5 linked regions of the Macaca fascicularis genome follow. The protein of the gene in region 5 interacts with the protein of the main gene of each other region in a pairwise test. Links are inferred from orthologs where the notes say so. Each region holds a gene or a part of one and is shown on either strand. Other genes may lie near its edges.

Evidence for each region. The genes of interacting proteins can lie anywhere in the genome.
Region 1: the proteins of FATE1 (region 5) and TRAF3IP3 interact in binary tests that used the Homo sapiens proteins (3 or more experiments, as listed by UniProt). The two-hybrid records come from large-scale screens. The link is inferred for Macaca fascicularis from reciprocal best matches to the Homo sapiens genes FATE1 and TRAF3IP3.
Region 2: the proteins of FATE1 (region 5) and MARCHF5 interact in binary tests that used the Homo sapiens proteins (3 or more experiments, as listed by UniProt). The two-hybrid records come from large-scale screens. The link is inferred for Macaca fascicularis from reciprocal best matches to the Homo sapiens genes FATE1 and MARCHF5.
Region 3: the proteins of FATE1 (region 5) and INPP5K interact in binary tests that used the Homo sapiens proteins (3 or more experiments, as listed by UniProt). The link is inferred for Macaca fascicularis from reciprocal best matches to the Homo sapiens genes FATE1 and INPP5K.
Region 4: the proteins of FATE1 (region 5) and KASH5 interact in binary tests that used the Homo sapiens proteins (3 or more experiments, as listed by UniProt). The two-hybrid records come from large-scale screens. The link is inferred for Macaca fascicularis from reciprocal best matches to the Homo sapiens genes FATE1 and KASH5.

Annotation. Positions count from the first base shown.
Region 1 is NC_088375.1:67,583,417-67,586,933, reverse strand, and holds part of TRAF3IP3 (TRAF3-interacting JNK-activating modulator), read right to left. Parts: intron 3,250-3,517; exon of another isoform or gene 3,119-3,249; intron 2,940-3,118; exon of another isoform or gene 2,918-2,939; coding exon of another isoform or gene 2,835-2,917; intron 1,994-2,834; coding exon 1,591-1,993; intron 1-1,590. UniProt on the Homo sapiens protein: Adapter protein that plays essential roles in both innate and adaptive immunity. Plays a crucial role in the regulation of thymocyte development.
Region 2 is NC_088383.1:101,128,795-101,131,595, forward strand, and holds part of MARCHF5 (E3 ubiquitin-protein ligase MARCHF5), read left to right. Parts: intron 1-2,321; coding exon 2,322-2,505; intron 2,506-2,645; coding exon 2,646-2,801. UniProt on the Homo sapiens protein: Mitochondrial E3 ubiquitin-protein ligase that plays a crucial role in the control of mitochondrial morphology by acting as a positive regulator of mitochondrial fission and as an important regulator of immune response.
Region 3 is NC_088390.1:1,617,809-1,621,325, forward strand, and holds part of INPP5K (inositol polyphosphate 5-phosphatase K), read right to left. Parts: intron 3,046-3,517; coding exon 2,936-3,045; intron 1-2,935. UniProt on the Homo sapiens protein: Inositol 5-phosphatase which acts on inositol 1,4,5-trisphosphate, inositol 1,3,4,5-tetrakisphosphate, phosphatidylinositol 4,5-bisphosphate and phosphatidylinositol 3,4,5-trisphosphate.
Region 4 is NC_088393.1:57,356,566-57,360,082, forward strand, and holds part of KASH5 (protein KASH5), read left to right. Parts: coding exon 1-48; intron 49-60; exon of another isoform or gene 61-131; coding exon of another isoform or gene 132-323; coding exon 324-380; intron 381-696; coding exon 697-756; intron 757-2,047; coding exon 2,048-2,112; intron 2,113-2,276; coding exon 2,277-2,364; intron 2,365-2,828; coding exon 2,829-2,951; intron 2,952-3,517. UniProt on the Homo sapiens protein: As a component of the LINC (LInker of Nucleoskeleton and Cytoskeleton) complex, involved in the connection between the nuclear lamina and the cytoskeleton.
Region 5 is NC_088395.1:157,778,853-157,782,953, reverse strand, and holds the start of FATE1 (fetal and adult testis-expressed transcript protein), read right to left. Parts: upstream 2,803-4,101; 5' UTR 1,833-2,802; coding exon 1,727-1,832; intron 685-1,726; coding exon 557-684; intron 1-556. UniProt on the Homo sapiens protein: Involved in the regulation of endoplasmic reticulum (ER)-mitochondria coupling. Negatively regulates the ER-mitochondria distance and Ca(2+) transfer from ER to mitochondria possibly implicating it in the regulation of apoptosis.

The DNA of each region.
Region 1 (3,517 bases), on a different chromosome or scaffold from region 5:
GTCCTCCTCAGGCCAGGCATATGTGGAGCTGTACTTTTCTCCAGTTTTTCTCTCTAGAATCTCTAGTTGTGGTTGTTGTTTTTTCCCCCTCTCTCTCTCTACCTTGTTTGGTTTTGGCCACTTAGATAGCCAGCATGGTGATATGGAAAGAGAACTGGTCTGAGTGGCCACTAAGGGGATCTGGGTTCAGATCCCATCTTTTCTAGGTCTCAGTCTTCTGTCTGTGTAGTGAGGAGTTTGGAATAGATAATCTATAAGATTCCTTCCATATTCGAAGGAAAACTTCCTTTCTCTTAGTAACAGCTAGAAAATCATTGAGGTTTTGTGTGAAGACTAGGTAAAGTGGGGAGTTGTGGGGAGGTTTTTTGCTTTAGTAAACAGTTTGTTTTCTTTTGCAACTGGGCTCTGGGATCATTGCTCTGAACAGTATCTCCTATTGAGCATAACAGATCCACTAGTTAAGAAGCCCTAATGGAGTACCCACTCTGGGTAGGACACAATGCCAAGCATTTCCACGGAACATAGTGGACACATCCCTGCTGTCAACATGCTCACAACCTCAGTAGGAAGACACAGATGGTTTGCTGGCCAACGTCATCTCAGCATACCCTGGTTTTTGCCAACACTGTTCCTTTCCAGGCCAGACTAATGGGCCCTCTAAGGGTTACACAATCTTGGAAGATTTTAACCTCACAAGGCCCGTAGACAGCAGCGGTGGCCTGGAGAAGCCAGGGAAGGCTTCCTGGACCAGATGAGGCTGTAGCCGAGTGATTTAATAGAATTGGAATAACACCAGAGAAAGAGAGAAGAGTGGGCACAACAGCCTTGCAGAAGAAGAGAGGACAGATATGTCTGTGTGTGTGTCAAAAGGATTGGCCTGTGTACTTGGCATATAATAAACTTTCAGTAAATATTTGGTGACTGATGGATGAATGAATGCTATAAGATAGCTGTAGAAGATATGTGTATATTGCCTAAGTTTGAACTGATATAGGTGTTAGCTTTGGAATTATTTTTATTTGTTTTATTTTAAGTTTTTTAGAGATAGGGTCTCCCTTTGTTGCCCAGGCTGGAGTACAATGGTGTGATCATAGCTTATTGCCGCTTTAAACTCCTGTGTTCAAGTAATCCTCCCATCTTTGCCTCCTGATTAGTTAGGACTACAGGTGTGCACCACCATGCCTGGCTAGTTTGTAAAGTTTTTGATAGAGACAGGGACTTGTCTCTATCAAAAAACTGGTCTCGAACTCCTGGCCTCAAGTGATCCTCCTGTCTTGGCCTTCCAAAGTGCTGGGATTACAGGTATGAGCCAACATGCCCAGCCTGGAATTGTTTTTAAAAATTATTTTTCTCTCTCTTACAAGTCAAGTGCAGAACAAAAAGAGCTAAACAAACAAAAACACAACAGCAAAAATCTCTGAATAAGTAGCTGTTGGCAACTTTACTATAAGAAGCTCTTAGCAACTTTACTATATGACTGAGGAAGAAGGACTTAATTTAGATCACTTTTAGCGACCTTGAGCCCACCCACCCTCCTTGTCCAGAGAGGGTCCCGGAGCACAGAGCAGTATGTCCCTTGACATGGCCCACCTGCTCTCTGGGAGAAGAGATCCTGCTGGCACAAGACAAAGGTTCCTTGAGGACAGTCACCTGGCCTGGCCGCCTGGAGGGCCCTTGCTCCCTGGCCTGGGGACGGTGCGCCTTGCCTTTCTCCTCTAGCTCCAGGTTCCTCCTCCTGAAGAACTGCTGCAGTCGAGCTCTCTGGAGCTGCTCTCTCTGCTGGATCCTCAGCGTCTTCCCCACCTGGCGGCAAGTGGTCACATTGGGACGGCAGCGGCGGCTTTCACGGGTCTCTTGCCTGCGCTCACACTTGGCCTCATAGCTCTCAGCCCACCGGGCCAAGCCAGGGGAGGGCCTGGGGTCTGGGCTGATCATGATGACCTCCAAGCACCTGTTGCGCTTGGCTTCCTGTTCCTGGAATAGATGCCTGGATCTGCCAAATGCCAAGAGGGAGGAGAAGGGGAGGGGTCAGAAGATGGGCAGAAAAATGACTATCTCCCTAGACCAGGGGGCAGAAATAGCACAGAGTTCCATCCATGTGGGTTGAAAACTGAGGACATGGTGGTATCAAACTGGGAGTCAGGACTCTTGGGCTCAGTCTCTAATGAATTAATACAACCTTGTAACAGCGATTTCCTGCTCTTCTCTAGCTGATGTTTCCCCTTTGTAAAGTAAAACGGTCTCTATGGCTGCCACTTACTCCTTGACTGAACATCTTACCATGCCTCTAAGTCAGGGGAACATGATAAATAATTGATTAAAATAATAATGAGCTTATAGCCTCTTGGATGGCAGGTGTGTGTTCATTTTCCAGACTTCTAGAGAAACAGCCTAGTGAGCCCCTCTGCCCTCTTATCCCCCAGCTGAAAAAGAAAGTCAGTATCTTTACTGCTGTCTTGGTCCAAGCTGTTACTAACATAGTTGAGTGACACTTCTCAAGATCTGGAGGGCTAACCACACCCCACTCAGGTGGTGACCAGTCCTGTGACCAGCACCCGCTGCTCTCTTCTTGACTTTTAGCAACTAACTTATGAGTCTGGACCTGGCATGGTTTAGGAGGAAACCCTACCCTAATTCCTCCAACCTGCTGTGCTGACAATGGTCCATGGGCCCCCCACTCCAAGCTCAGGACTCGGCCGTGTCTCTCAGGTGCAGATCAAGTTCAATCAGTATTGACTGAGCATCTGCCACATGCCTAGTGCTGGCCTAAACCCATTTCAGAGCATCTGGCTCCAATACTCTTGGAGATGAGGGTTCCATTTCTTTAGGATCACCTTCTTGTCAGGGCTAATTCTGGTGCCAAGTCTGCTTTCCTTTGCCAAGACACAGATTGTGCCATCCAAACCCACAAGCACATGAATTAGACCTTAATAAGGCTGCTGCAAACAGAAAAGAAACAAAACAAAAATAGTAATCAGAAGTTTCCAGGGAGCCAGGCTTGGTGTAGGGGCCACAGGATGTCCCTCTGCATGGCTTTACCTGGTATTCACATAGCACTCAGACCCAAATCCCCTTTTCCTTCTCTGTCCCTTTCTCTTTCCTACTCTTCCCCACCTACCTTCTGCAGTTTATCCTACTAGAACCCTCTGGTCACTTTGCTGAGTTGGGCTGGACTTGGATTAGCTGGATCCTGAGCGTTGGAAATTCTGTGTCCTGCCTCCTCTGATCACTGGAGTCAGACCAGGGACTGATGAAGGAAGAGGGACTCCCCCTCACAGCTGCTGCTGCTTCTCTTCCTCCCACGACCTCATTACCCACCACCCTGGGAGGAGGGTATCTCAGCTTCACCAACCAGCAGGCGTTTGCTAGCTGTAACCCCTCGGGGTTTATTTATAGGCCAAACAGACTCAACAGGTAGCAGAGTCTCTGCCCCTATACTGGGACTTCGCTATCCTGGCTCAGTCTGGAATTCTCTGCAGGATTCTTGTTTTCTCTCTGATCCTACCACTCATTCCCC
Region 2 (2,801 bases), on a different chromosome or scaffold from region 5:
ACAGGCGCCCACCACCATGTCTGGCTTGTATTTTTAATAGAAACGGGGTTTCACCATGTTGGCCAGGCTGGCCTCGAACTCCTGACCTCAGGTGATCCGCCTGCCTCAGCCTCCCAAAGTGCTAGGATTACAACTGTGAGTCACAGTGCCCAACCCCACTTCCTTTTTGTTTCCTTATTCTTAAATACCTTATAAGGTTTTTGCTGCTACCCATGAGGAACAAACTTCCTCTTGCTCTAGTCTATACCTGAATATTCACTCTCCTTTATATTTCTAAACCCAAAAAAAGGATATGTAACCCAACAAAGGATTTTTTTCAAATATTCTGAATTTATTTGCTAACACTTTGAGAATATTTAATCATACCTAATTATAACTTTAGAGTGATCATTATATTGAAATTTTTAATGATATAAAAATAGAATTTCCTAGCCGGATGTGGTGGTACCCATGTGTAGTTCCAGCTACTCAGGAGGGTGAGGTGGGAAGATTGCTTGAGCCTGGGAGTACAAAGCCAACCTGGGAAACATAGCAAGACCGTCTTTTTTTTTTCTTTAAAGGAATTTCCTGGCTGGGCACAGTGGTTCAGGCCTATAATCCCAGCACTTCGAGGGGCCAAGGCAGGCAGATCACCTGAGGTCAGGAATTCAAGACCAACCTGGCTAACGTGGTGAAACCCCGTTTTTACTAAAAATACGAAAAATTAGCTAGGTGTGGTGGCACGCGCCTGTAATCCTATTTATTCGGGAAGTTGAGGCAGAAGAATCTCTTGAACTTGGGAGGTGGAGGTTGCAGTGAGCCAAGATTGTGCCAAGACCAAAACTCCGTCATAGATAGATAGATAGATAATTTCCTAGGAAATCATTATAGGTAAAACAATCTGGGCTACCATTATGGAATTGGGGCTTATGAAATATCATACACCAGACCATTTCATTTTAGGGCAACTCAAAAGGATCACCTTCCACATGCAAGATAGGAAGGTGTTAAGTTCTACCTGGAGACACAGAAGAATATCAAATTCGATGACATTATTGACCATTAGGAAGAGGCTAGCTTCCTGCCCTTTAATATTACATCTTAGTTAGATAAATTAACCAAGTAGAAATCTGGACTATATCCATAGCTCAAATTTGGTCCTCTCTACACACTTTTATAAAACATTTTTGGCCAGGCGTGGTGGCTCACGCCTGTAATCCCAGCACTTTGGGAGGCCAAGGCGGGCATATCACCTGAGGTCAGGAGTTCGAGACCAACCTGGCCAAGATGGTAAAACCTCATCTCTACTAAAAATACAAAAATTAGCCGGGCATGGTGGCATGCCCTTGCAATCCCAGCTACTCGGGAGGCTAAGGCAGAAGAATCGCTTGAATCCAGGAGCTGGAGGTTGCAGTGAGCCAAGATCACACCACTGCACTCCAGCCTGGGCAACAGAGCAAGACTCTGTTTCAGAAACAACAGCAACAAAAAGAGGTAAATTTAAGGCCAAGATTGATGTGGAAATGAAAAGGATTTTGGAGAGAGGGAAAAGGTAGAAATTCACAAATGCCAATTTTGTATTTCTTGCCTTCTGGGATCTACACCAATTTAGAAATAGCCCCAAGACTAGGATAGAGTAAGGAAAAGATTATATTAGCTTCATTACCCCCATAGATAGGGTACCCTAGAGTTCCTGGATTGGGAAAAATGCCTGGGATCTGTAACCAAAACTGGAACTCCTACTACAGTCCCTCAATTCTAGACCTTGAAAGTGCACTTAAGGAGGATTAGGTCTGTAGGGTAAACACTTAGCCAGCCAGAGACATCACACCCTATCTTACACACCACTAAGTAAGGAGAAAGAGCCAAAGAGAAATGAGCTTTCAGGCCATCTCTTGAAGGCCAGTCCTACCTCTTGGCTGGCTATGCTTAATCTCCTAGAAGGAAGATCAGGAAAACAATTGTTTTGCTGGAAGACAAATAGAACTTAGAATTATATCCCAGTTCCATAGCCCAGTCTAACCAAATCAAATAAAGGAATAGAAGCAACAATCAGGGGTCCCCACCCCTCTATTGTAATGTAATCAGTCTGGGTCAGCCATTTTAAAAGCTTTTTTATTCCTGTGTGGTATGAAATGGCTTGAGAACTTCGTTTTTCCCTTGAATGAGACATTTCTTATAAATAAATCAGGACTGATAGCTTTCCAGCTTATTTTTTAAACTTTTTATTTCTGTGTATTCTTTTGAAATGCTTACATTTTCTATTAAAAAAAAATAGAGCTTAACATGCAACCCCTCATTTGAAAAAGAAGTAATTCTAACATATGCTATCTGTTTCACAGGTTGTAGGTCATAAAGAAGGTCTGGATGTTATGGAGAGAGCTGATCCTTTATTCCTTTTAATTGGACTTCCTACTATTCCTGTCATGCTGATATTAGGCAAGATGATTCGCTGGGAGGACTATGTGCTTAGACTGTGGCGCAAATACTCGAATAAACTTCAAATTTTAAATAGTATATTTCCAGGTAAGGCCCTGAACTGTGGTTGTAAAGTGCATACCAAATTGATCTTATAGAAGAACCATAACATGCTTTTTTAGCCATGTTTGAAGATATTCTAACTCTTCTGATTTATTAGCACTAATGCACTACATTTTTTTCTCTAGGGATTGGTTGTCCTGTTCCTCGAATTCCAGCAGAGGCTAATCCTTTAGCAGATCATGTCTCTGCTACTCGAATCTTGTGTGGAGCCCTTGTCTTTCCTACTATTGCGACAATAGTTGGTAAATTGATGTTCAGTAGTGTTAACTCTAATTTACAAA
Region 3 (3,517 bases), on a different chromosome or scaffold from region 5:
CTGACAGGCCTCTCCTAGCGTTAGCTGTCCGCCTCCTTAACATTTGCTCCAACCTTCTGCACGCAGTTCTGGAAACCTTCTACTGACTAATTCCCAGACTTGGTAACATATGCCAGGTACTGTGCTACTCCCAGGGATGGTCCTAAATCAGATCGTCTCTGCTCTCTGGGCCATCACAGTACAGTAAGAAAGGTACACTGTTGCTTAAAAGGTACAGTGTTGCTTAAAAGCAACACTGAGAGCATGGCGTGCGCAAGGCTGGGAGCGGCACAGGGCAGGAAAGGAACTCTCAGTGAGATGGGGGAAGGCGTCCTAGGAAAAGTGATGTCTCAACTGGGTTTTCAAGGATAAAATAACAGTTTCATTAGATAGGAATGTCTCTGCCCCAGGTGGGCTCAGGCCCTGCTCACTGCAGGAACTCCCAGCTGCCTCTGGACCCTGGCCCCAGCCAGGAGTATTTCAGTTACCATGTCCCCTGTTCTTGCCCGGACATTCTTGCATTTCCTGGGCTCCAGCCAAAGGGAAGTACTGAAGGCTCATGAGTCGACAGACACAGATATGAGTTCCAATCCTCATGCAGTGATGAAGTCTATTGCTCCTTACTTATATATTCTTTGAGACTCAGTTGCCTTCTGTGTAAACAGTCAATAGTGACACTGTCTACCTAAAGAGGACATGGTAAGAACTGACACAGGCAAAGCCTGGGTGCACGCCTGTCTGCCAATCACGGTGAGCTGTTATTTGGAAATAGGTGTGTGCCTCCTCCTTAGCAGGAGTCTGCCTTCCTCATCGTGCCATCCTTTTTGCTGTTGCTGGCAAGGATGACCATGAATCCTGACGCACAATGGGCTTGACGAAAGCACTGTGGGCTATAGATTCAGAGATCAGTCTGAGCTCCAGCTCTGCCACTCACTGGGTGAGCTCCCTGGGGAAGTCCTTGAACTTCTCCAAAGCTCACTACCCTTTTAGACCCTGTCAACTCCAGCCCAGACCCAGCTTTTTCAACAAACTTCAGTCTCCTGGAGACCTCTCTGGCACAGGGCTGGGAGAAGGGGCCACCTGGCCGTAGGGCCTGCCAGCACCTCTCTTCCTGCTGGCAAGTGTTTAAAGAGGAATTTTTTTTTTTTTTTTGAGACAGGGTTGCCCAGCTGGAGTGCAGTGGGTAAATCTCAGCTCACTGCAGCCTTTAACTCCTGGGCTCAAGTGATCCTCCTGCCTCAGGTTTCCTGAGTAGTTGGGACTACAGGCATATCCCACTCAGCTGATTTTTAAATTTTTGTAGAGATAGGGTCTAACCATGTTGCCCAGGTGGGTCTTGAACTCCTGGCTTCAAGCAACCTCTCCCCACCCAAGGCCCCAGCCTGTACTTACAGCTCCCACCATGACTCTCGTTTCTAATGGATGGCTGCAGAGACTGGCAGTCTCCCTGCAGCTGTCGGTCTGGGCCGGCCAGCCTGTCGCAGCCTGGCCTCTTACCTCCTTTCCTGCCTGCTCTGTTGCCCAGGGTGGGTCCCGTCCCCAGCGTCTGCTGCCTCCTCTTGTCTGGACGGCCCTGCTCACAACCCTACCCTATCTTGCTCCACACTGCTCAGTCAGCTCGCTCTTTCCCCCTTTCCTTGGCAAGGATATTTTGGCTTTGCTGTACCACTTCCAGAACCAAGCTTGAGTTCTACCTCTTGTCCTGCACTGGCTAAATCCCAAAGGCCTGGGCTGCCCTGCTGGCACCTCCCGCCTCCCTCACAGACACACTCCCGCTCGGAGAATGAACGAGCCGCTCCCGCTGGGACAAAGACCCTCATGACATGTAAGACCCTCATGACATGTAAGGGGCTCTTCCTTTCTTCAAAGAGATGAGGGTCCTTGCCCCAAACTGGGTCAGGGACATGTTGCCAGAAGTTCTTTCTCAGGTTTTGATGGTTACTTGGCCCCTTCTCAGCTTCTTAGAAAGGTTTTTAGTAAATCTATGATGGGAAGACATGAATCTATTTATTTTATAATTATTTTTTTGAGACAGAGTCTTGCCTGTCACCCAGACTGGAGTGCAGTGGTGAGATCTCGGCTCACTGCAACCTCCGCCTCCCGGGTTCAAGCGATTCTCCTGCCTCAGCCTCTTGAGTAGCTGGGATTACAGGCGCACGCTACCATATCCGGCTAATTTTTGAAGTTTTAGTAGAGATGGGGTTTCACCATGTTGGTCAGGCTGGTCTGGAACTCCTGACCTTAAGTGATCCACCTGCCTTGGCCTCCCAAAGTGCTGGGATTACAGACGTGAGCTACCACGCCCAGCCGGCATGAATCTAAAAGTCACAATAGCAGTTCTCTCCCATGGTTACTCGGTGCCAGCCTTCTTCAATCCTCAGCCTCATGAGGTGTCTGCTGTGTCATCCACACTTTATAGATGACAAAACGAGGCCTAACACTTTGTCTAAAGTCAGACAGAGCTGTGCTTTTAACCACCAGACTCATGATCTCACTGATCCTGATGAAATTCTCTACCCACTACTTCACCTTCTCACACAGAACCTGACCCACCCACGGGCTGGGGCAGGGGTCCTTAATACCAGTAACTGGTTGGCCCAAGCTTTCTGCCCTGTTTGGGGACCAGAAGGTCTGGGGTTTCCAGAAGCTGACGTGCAGTCCCTCCTAGGTCAGGAGGCGGCTGCTCCACCCTCTCCTCTAGTTCTACCTGTAACACCCCCACCCCCCACACACCTCTCCTGCCTTTGCCGGCACTGGCGTTCCCTCCCACTCTCGCTGAGATCTGGGACGGCTCCCCCAGTCAGTGCCTCATGAAGTGGACAGGAGGCGCCACTCTGGAGAGGAGATGGCTACACGGCTTCCCGGCCCCTAACACTTCTATTCTGAGACAGTGCCCATGCCAGCAGGGCCAATGTAACCTGACTTCTTAGACCTTCTGGCCCCGCTTCCTCCTCACCTGGTGTCATAGTCGTTGGAGTTCCTATCAAACTTGTAGGTGGGTGGGAAGAGCAGGCGGCCCTCCTGGAACTCCCGGAGCAGTGGATCATGTTTCTTGGCAATGCTGAGCTGCAGACAAAGTCACAGTCCCCGTCTCCCTCTAGACTCGACCCAATGGCCCAGTACCACACTCCATTCAAGGGATCAGCACATGCCGTCACAAATGGGCAAGAGTCAAGCAATGCCACTCCACTGCCCCACTGCCCCAGTGACTACTCACAGCCCACCCCCACCAGAGAGCAGGTGAATCCTTTCAGAAACACTACCAAGGCCTAGGGGAGGCAGCTGTCTGCCGTTTCCCAGTCCTTGGACTGCAGGGACCCGACTTGGAATTCCATCTCTAGTGGAGGTCACTAGCAGACATGTGTCAGAGGGGAAGCTGGGGGAGCCAGGGTCCTCCAAAGGGTCATCTCACCCTCCGGGAGGGAAACGAGGCTGGGGATGGGAAAGACAGACGACAGGGATACGATGGGCTGATGCGTGGTGGCGCCTGGTGCAAAACCCTTCTGGTTCCCTATTCTTCTTCTTTTTTAAATAATTC
Region 4 (3,517 bases), on a different chromosome or scaffold from region 5:
GTGAAGAAGAGAAGTCAGGAACTGGCCATGGAGAAGGACACTTTGAAGGTGCCACTCCTTCCTAGTGCCTGACAACTTTCCACCACCCTGGGGCCATTTTTCCCATTTCCGGTTTTAGTGACTGCAGCCTGATGAGAGCAGGGTCTTCCATCAAACTGTCAGACTCCCAGGACCACCCAGGCATCCCTAAAATCCCTGAAGTCCCGGAACATCTCAGGAGGTTGAATCGGCGGGGTGCGGGAGAGCAGGGCAGGCCAGACGGAGGGCAGGACCGAGGGGAGTCCTGGGAGGTTGGATGGATGGACCGGCTCCTTTCTTGGCAGCGGCAGCTCTTTGAGTGTGAACACCTCATTTGCCAACGAGACACCATCCTCTCTGAGGTGAGGAGCCCGGGGAGGGAAAGAGATTTGCCTTCCGTGTGCGCCAGCCACTTCCTGCCCCTGGTCTAGAAAGGGAAGTCCTACTTGGGTCTGGTCCTTGGATGTGCAGGCGGAGAGATTGGAGGGATTCCCCAGGTCCCAATGTGACCCCTCAGGGATCTAGAAGCCCTTCTGCCCGGTGCTCTCCCTTGGGCCCCAGCTCTTCTCTCAAGCTCACCCTTGTCCCTTAACCCCCCCAGCCAGTCCCCCCACCACCACCCCCCACTATGTCTTTGGGGAACTGGTCCCAGTCTCATTTGGCTTTCGGCTTTCCCAGCGCACTCGCCATGTGGAGAGCCTGGCCCAGACCTTGCAAGAATACAGAGTGACGACGCAGGTAACTCAGCGGCCCTGGCCACTTCTCTTTTGCCATCTCTGGGACTTGCTGCCTCTCCTCCTCATCGCTCTTTCTCTGTCGGTGGCCACATCTTGCTTCTTCTATCCATAATGTATGACTGTATGACTTACTGTGTGTCTCACCCTCTGTTTCTCTATCTGCCTTTTCACTTTTTTTCTGTTCCTTCCATTCACTTTCATTCTCTGTGGGTGTCTTCTCACATACCCCTCCTTATCTTTTTTTTTTTTTTTTTTTTTTGAGACAGAGTCTCGCTCTGTCACCAGGCTGGAGTGCAGTGACGCAATCTCGGCTCACTGCAACCTCTGCCTCCCAGGTTCAAGCGATTCTCCTGTCTCAGCCTCCCAGATAGCTGGGACTACAGGCGCACGCCATCATGCCCAGCTGATTTTTGTATTTTTAGTAGAGACGGGGTTTCACCATGTTGGCCAGGATGGTCTCGATCTCTTGGCCTCATGATCCGCCCACCTCGGCCTCCCAAAGTGCTGGGATTACAGGCGTGAGCCACCGCGCCCAGCCTCCCCTCCTCATCTTTATGTGTCTCTGCCAGGCTCGTGTGGGTTCCTGTCTCTGCCTCTAGGTCTAGGCTGTCTGTCTCCCTAGGCAAGTCTTCTCTGTTTGGCTCTGGTCTTTACCAGTCTCTTAGCCCTGGTGTTTCCCTTGCCTGTCTGTGAGTCTGTTTCCATTTATGTCTTTCATTTTTTCATGCATCACTGCCTCTGCCTTCCTTCTCTTAATTTTCTTGGCTGTGCTTTTTGTTTTGTTTTGTTTTGTTTTGTTTTTCTTTTTTGAGACGGAGTCTGGTTGTGTCGCCCAGGCTGGAGTGCAGTGGCACAATCTTGGCTCACTGCAAGCTCCTCCTCCTGGGTTCAAGCGATTCTTCTGCCTCAGCCTCCCAAGTAGCTGGAACTACAAGTGCGTGCCACCATGCCTGGCTAATTTTTTGTATTTTTAGTAGAGACGGGGTTTCACCCTGTCAGCCAGGATGGTCTCGATCTCCTGACCTCGTGATCTGCCCTCCTGAAGTGCTGGGATTACCGGCATGAGCCACAGCTCCCGGCCTCTTGGCCTGTGCTTTAGCTTCTGGATTCCTGTTGCTCTCTGTCTCTCTTTGGCTTCCTAACATTCTGTCATGGCTTTCTGCCCTTTGTCCCCAGGCAGTGTGTGTCTGGGGAGGCCAAAGTAGTCAGGAAAGTGGAAAGAACCCTGGAAGAGGAGCCCAGGGATGGGAAAAATGGAGAGCCAGATGTGCCCCCCACTTCCTCCTTTGCAGGAACTGAGGCTGGAGATTTCACGCCTGGAGGAGCAGCTGAGTCAGACCTATGAGGGGCCCGATGAGTGAGTGGAACTTCATAGGGTAGGAGGAGGCAGGAGGGGAGCCTAAGAGCAGAGACACCCTGGTCTCCAGCCCCAAGGTGGGCAGGGAAGGGAGGCCAGCATGAGCCGACTGAGTGGCCCCCAGGCACAAAGGCCGCCTTCCTCCCTCCTCCCTGTGTGGCCAGGCTACCTGAAGGGGCCCAGCTGAGAAGAGTGGGCTGGACCCGGCTGCTGCCCCCATCGCTGGGCTTGGAGATCGAGGCCATTCGACAGGTGGGCCTAACACCCCTGGAATAAGCTGCAGGCCACCAAGGCAGGATCTCCAAACATCTCCCCACTCTGATCCTCACACCAGCCTAGCCCTAACCCACATTGCTGCCAGAGGCTCCCATCACAACCTTAGCTTTTCTCTAACTCTATCTCGGATCCTAACCCCAAACCCACTGCCAGCCCCAGGCCTATGCCAGACCCCAGTCCGATCCAGCTGTGACTCACCCCTATCTCGTCTCCCTCCATGACCATCTCACTCCTTAACTTCATCTCGAACCCAGACCTCGGTCCTGGCAGCAAACCCTCCCCTGTTCCTGCTTCTGCCCACTCCCCACACCAGCCCCACACCAGCTCTTTTCTACCTCTCATCCTATTTTCAGCCACACACCTAAACCCGTTTCTGTCTCTGACCTTGTCTTCTACCTTAACATGGCTCTCCCTGACCTCGGAAACACCTTCTGTCCCAGAAACAGGAAGTGGCAATTGCTGGTCTCTCCAACCCTCTGTGTGGGGTGTGGCAGTGGGAGGAAGTCATCCATGATACCAGTGAGGATGCTGAGTTTCCGTCTGAAGCCCCAGCTGGGGGACAGGTGAGCACAGGAAAAGCTCTGAAGTCCAGGAGCTGGAAAGGGGCCCGGAGCGCCAGGTGCCGCCCTGGCCAGCCATTCACTCACACCTTTGCTTGTTCCCCATTTGATGAGAAAATGTTAATTGAGAGCACACTGTGTGCTGGACACCCAGCCACAAGCCAGACCAGACACCACCCCTGCCCCAGGGACTGACCTGCCAGCGTTGGAGACAAAGGTGAACAAAGCAAACACACAAATTGCACTGTGGCTTTTCGTGTCGTTTTGTTGTTTTAGAAAACACGCTCAGGAATTGCGTGATTTAAAATTGTACTACCGTAGGAAGGGAATAAGCAAGTTGTTTATGCTAACATTTTAAGGATATATTAAGCATTTATGTTTCAAATATAAGTACCTTTAAGAAAAACCAGCAAGCTCACTATGACATCTTTTTTTTTTTTTTCTTTTTCTTTTTTTTGAGGCGGAGTCTCGCTCTGTCGCCCAGGCTGGAGTGCAGTGGCCGGATCTCAGCTCACTGCAAGCTCCGCCTCCCGGGTTCCGGCCATTCTCCTGCCTCAGCCTCCCGAGTA
Region 5 (4,101 bases):
TCCTGAGTAGCTGTGATTACAGGCATGTGCCACCATGCCCAGCTAATTTTTGTATTTTTAGTAGAGACAAGGTTTCACCATGCTGGCCAGACTGTTCTCCAACTCCTGGCCTCAAGTGATCCGTCCACCTCTTCCTGCCAGAGTGCTCAGATTACAGGCATGAGCCACCATGCCAGACGACTTGACTGGATTTCTTAACAGCCAGAAAGCGTAGGAGCCTCACCTGAGTTATTGTGTGTATACACACACACGCACCACACACACAATTTTAAATACAGGAAGCGTTATTTCACACAATGGATTTACAGAGTGAAATATTTATGTACTCCCCATGCAATATTTGTTTCAGGCATTCTGAACTCCCAAGGTTGCATCCCAAGCATAGGAAAGGATGACCCTGACCTTTCTGTCCTCATTTGCCAGCTTGGAATACAGGAGCTTCCTCCTCCTCACAAGTCAATGTCTAGCCCTGCCTGACCTGGTCAGGCTACAGCCCCTACAACCAGTACTCCCAACCCCAACCTGGCCAACATGTGCTGAGGACCCCATGCAGTACCATTTTCTTGGATCGGGTGGCAGTCATATTCCAAACTCGTTTCGCTGAAGCAGAGCCAGCAGCTTTTTGTTCCAACTTCTGCCTCTTCTGGGAGGCACCCAGGGACCGAGATCCATGCTCCATCATTTCTAGAGAGAAGAACAGAGACCCCAGGAGCACCCATAGAAGTTGTACCAGGGCTTCTTGGGCACAAAACACACCAAAAAGAAGACAGAGTCCCCAGCTTTCTTGGGAATCACTCAGCACCCATTAACCACTGTCCACCAGCTGATCCCAGGTCTCAGTTTGTTCATCTGTTCAAAAGTTAAACAAGAATCCTGAGGGCTCAGCTCGAGACTAGGTTACTCTCCAGTAATCTAGAGAGCAATGACCAAGAACAAGATTCCAGCTATCAAGGAACTGACCATCTGTTTTGTGTATAAGAGTGAATGACAGGTGTAAAACAGAAGGTCTATCCTTGCAAATGCAGACAGAGAGATGCAGGCTCCATAAATGATCAAAACAGGGTAACATAGTGGAAGGAAAGGGCTCCTTCTAGAAAAGTAGGAGACAACAATTGAGGCAGGGACCTGAAAAAAATAAAGGACCCAGCCCTGGGAAATTGAGGGAAAGAGCATTCCAGACAGAGGAAACAGCAAATGCAAGGTCTTTGGGGAAGAAGCAGGCTTGGAGCATTGTAAGAACAAACATAAATGCAATGTGATCTGGATCCCTTTGTGTGCTATAGAAATGGTATTTTCTGTCTATATCATAGTATGAAATGTTTTGAGGAGGCTGATACAATCTTATAGATCATGGAGTCTGGATTTTCCTCCAAATGGCAGGAAAATGAATTCGAGGGTTGGGAGAGAGAATTGATCTCTGGTCTCATAATTTGAGCCCTCTGAGTATTTTGCAACAGACACTGTGGTGGCTTGGACAAGGGGAAGACAGAGGGACCACACATGTTGTTCCCATCCTCCTCCCTCCCAGGGCAAAATGCTCACATCATCTATCCCTTTTCTCCTAGATCCCTTACCATCAACCCACAAATCCTCAAAGCCCGCCCAACACACAGATGTGCAAACACTTCCATGCACACATGCACCTTTCCCAACACACACATGCACAGGTACAGACATGTATCTACACAGTTGGCTGTAGCCTAGGGGTATTTTAGGGGATCCTCACCCGCTATCACCAGGTGCTCTTGGTTTTGCCCTTGGCGTCCATGATTCAATTCTTCTGTCAGGGACATTTCCATCTCTGCCTTGGTGTTGGGAGGGCCTCCTGCCATCACAACCAGCTGTTCACTTGTAAGCTATGGCTAAGGATGTACAGGGTGCCAGGAACAGAGGAGTCACACTCAGAAAATCACCTCTTCCTGGAACAGGAGCTCAAGGAAGATATAGTCAGACCTGGGGGTGGAGCAAGACTCCCTCTCTAGGCTGAGGCCTTGGACTCAGCACTTTCTGTTTCTATTGTATCTTGTTGGCTAGGTCCGTGGCCTTCTCCTTGCTACTCTGTAAGCAACTTAGGAGAAGAGATACAATTCCATGCCTTTGACTGTGAGAACTGCTCTGGCTCATGAATCTCCATATTTAGCCCATGGGGGGAAGGGTAGGGTCTACCCTCCATCATTTCTATGAAGAAACAGGGATTGGCACAGGGTCCAAGAGCCAGGCAGTGGCTACAGCAGAGTTAGGTCCTAGCAATCCAGGCCATACCACACCTTCAGAAGAGATTCTCTGGAGAGCATATCCTACCTCCCCCATCCAGAGTCCCCAGACATGGGAGGTAGCCTTTTTCTGAAGTAGGTCAGACTAGGCAGGAGCCATGAGAACAAAGGGAGAGAAGGGTAAGAGAGGTGGGACCTGACTGCAGCCACTAGAACTCCCAGGGGCCTCAGGCCTTGCACCTTCTAAGTCCCAATTCTCCCTCAGTTTCCCTACTGATTAGACCACTGTGATGGTCAGGTTTATGTGTCACCTGGCCAGGTTCTAGTCCCCAGTGACTCCTTCAAACACTAGTCTAGGTGTTGCTGTGGAGGCATTTTGTAGCTGTGGTTGGCATCTACAACCAGTGGACTTGAAGTAAAGTAGAGACACATCCTCGATGATGTGGGTTGGTCTCACACAATCAACTGAGAGGCCTGAAGAGCAAAGACTGAGGTTTCCCAAAGTAGAGGTAATTCTACCCCAGGACTGCAGTGTCAACTCTTCTTTGAGTTGCCAGCCTGCCAGGCTGCCCTGCACATTTCAGACTTGTCAGCCCCACAATTGCATAAGTCAATTTATTAAAATAAATGTATATATACTTGTGCATATGCAGATATATACATATATACATACATACATATATACATCCTATCAGTTATGTTTCTCTGGAAAACACTGATTGCTACACGACCTGTGGTGAACCCTTCATTCTAGGAAACAACCCCAGAGCCCCTGGGGGAATAGGAGGCTATTTGTGAAAGGAATCAGGACAGGTTTATAAAACGTTCCTTTTAGAAATAGCCTCTTCTTCCCCCAGAGCCCTTGGGTCAGGTGGGATAAAGAGGAGGAAGGAAGGAGGAAAAGAGGAAGGGAGGAAGGAAGGAAGGAAGGAAGGAAGGAAGGAAGGAAGGAAGGAAGGAAGGAAGGAAAAGAGGAAGGGAGGAAGGAAGGAAGGAAAGAAGGAAGGAGGAAAAGAGGAAGGAAGGAAGGAAGGAAGGAAGGAAGGAAGGAAGGAAGGAAGGAAGGAAGGAAGGAAGGAAGGAGAGGGAGTGCAAAGGAAGGGGTCAGAACTAGCTGAGATAGGGCAGCATGGTCTGAGGCTGCCTGTCCCCTGCCCCCACCTCACCTGTCCAGCGCTGGGGCCGAGCTCTTGGGAAGCAGAGCTGATATAGGCCCTGCCTGCATTCCTGGGGGCCCCAAAGAAGCCCTTCCCAGATCTAGTGGAGCAGCTGCGATGAAATTTGAGCTTTCTGGAGGGCCACCTTGGGAGCAGAGAAACTACTGAGTGTGCTCAGCTTAGTGGGATTCAGGAGCCTGGGAAGCCCAGCCAAGGTTGCCAGATTGAGCAAATGAAAATACAGATACGAAGTACATTTAAATTTCAGATAAACAACACATCTGTACTTATACTACATTTGTAGTGTAAGTATTCTCTCTTGTACACTAACCTTTGGGACATATTTACACTAAAAAAAGGATTCATGGGTTGATCTAACATTGAAATTTAGCTGCATATCCTGTATTCTATCTGACAATCTTATCTCACTATGACCTCAAGATTTTACCTCGAGCAAGTTTCTCCCTTCTTTTGGTGTCAGTCTCCACCATGGACAAGCCTCCCTACAGGGTGGCTGGATTGTGAGGAGCACTCAGAAGTCAGCAAAGCTACAGTAGTGTAGGCACTGGCTTGCCACAGGGCCTCAGGCTATGGAGGCCAGATTTCTGTCTAGTTATCAACTGACCCTGGTGGGGCTTCTTGGGCACAGGAGCACAGGGTCCAGGTGCATGTGGAGGCACTGCCCCCTGGTGGCATAAGAATCCACCACCTAAAGCCAAGCAAAGAGGGTG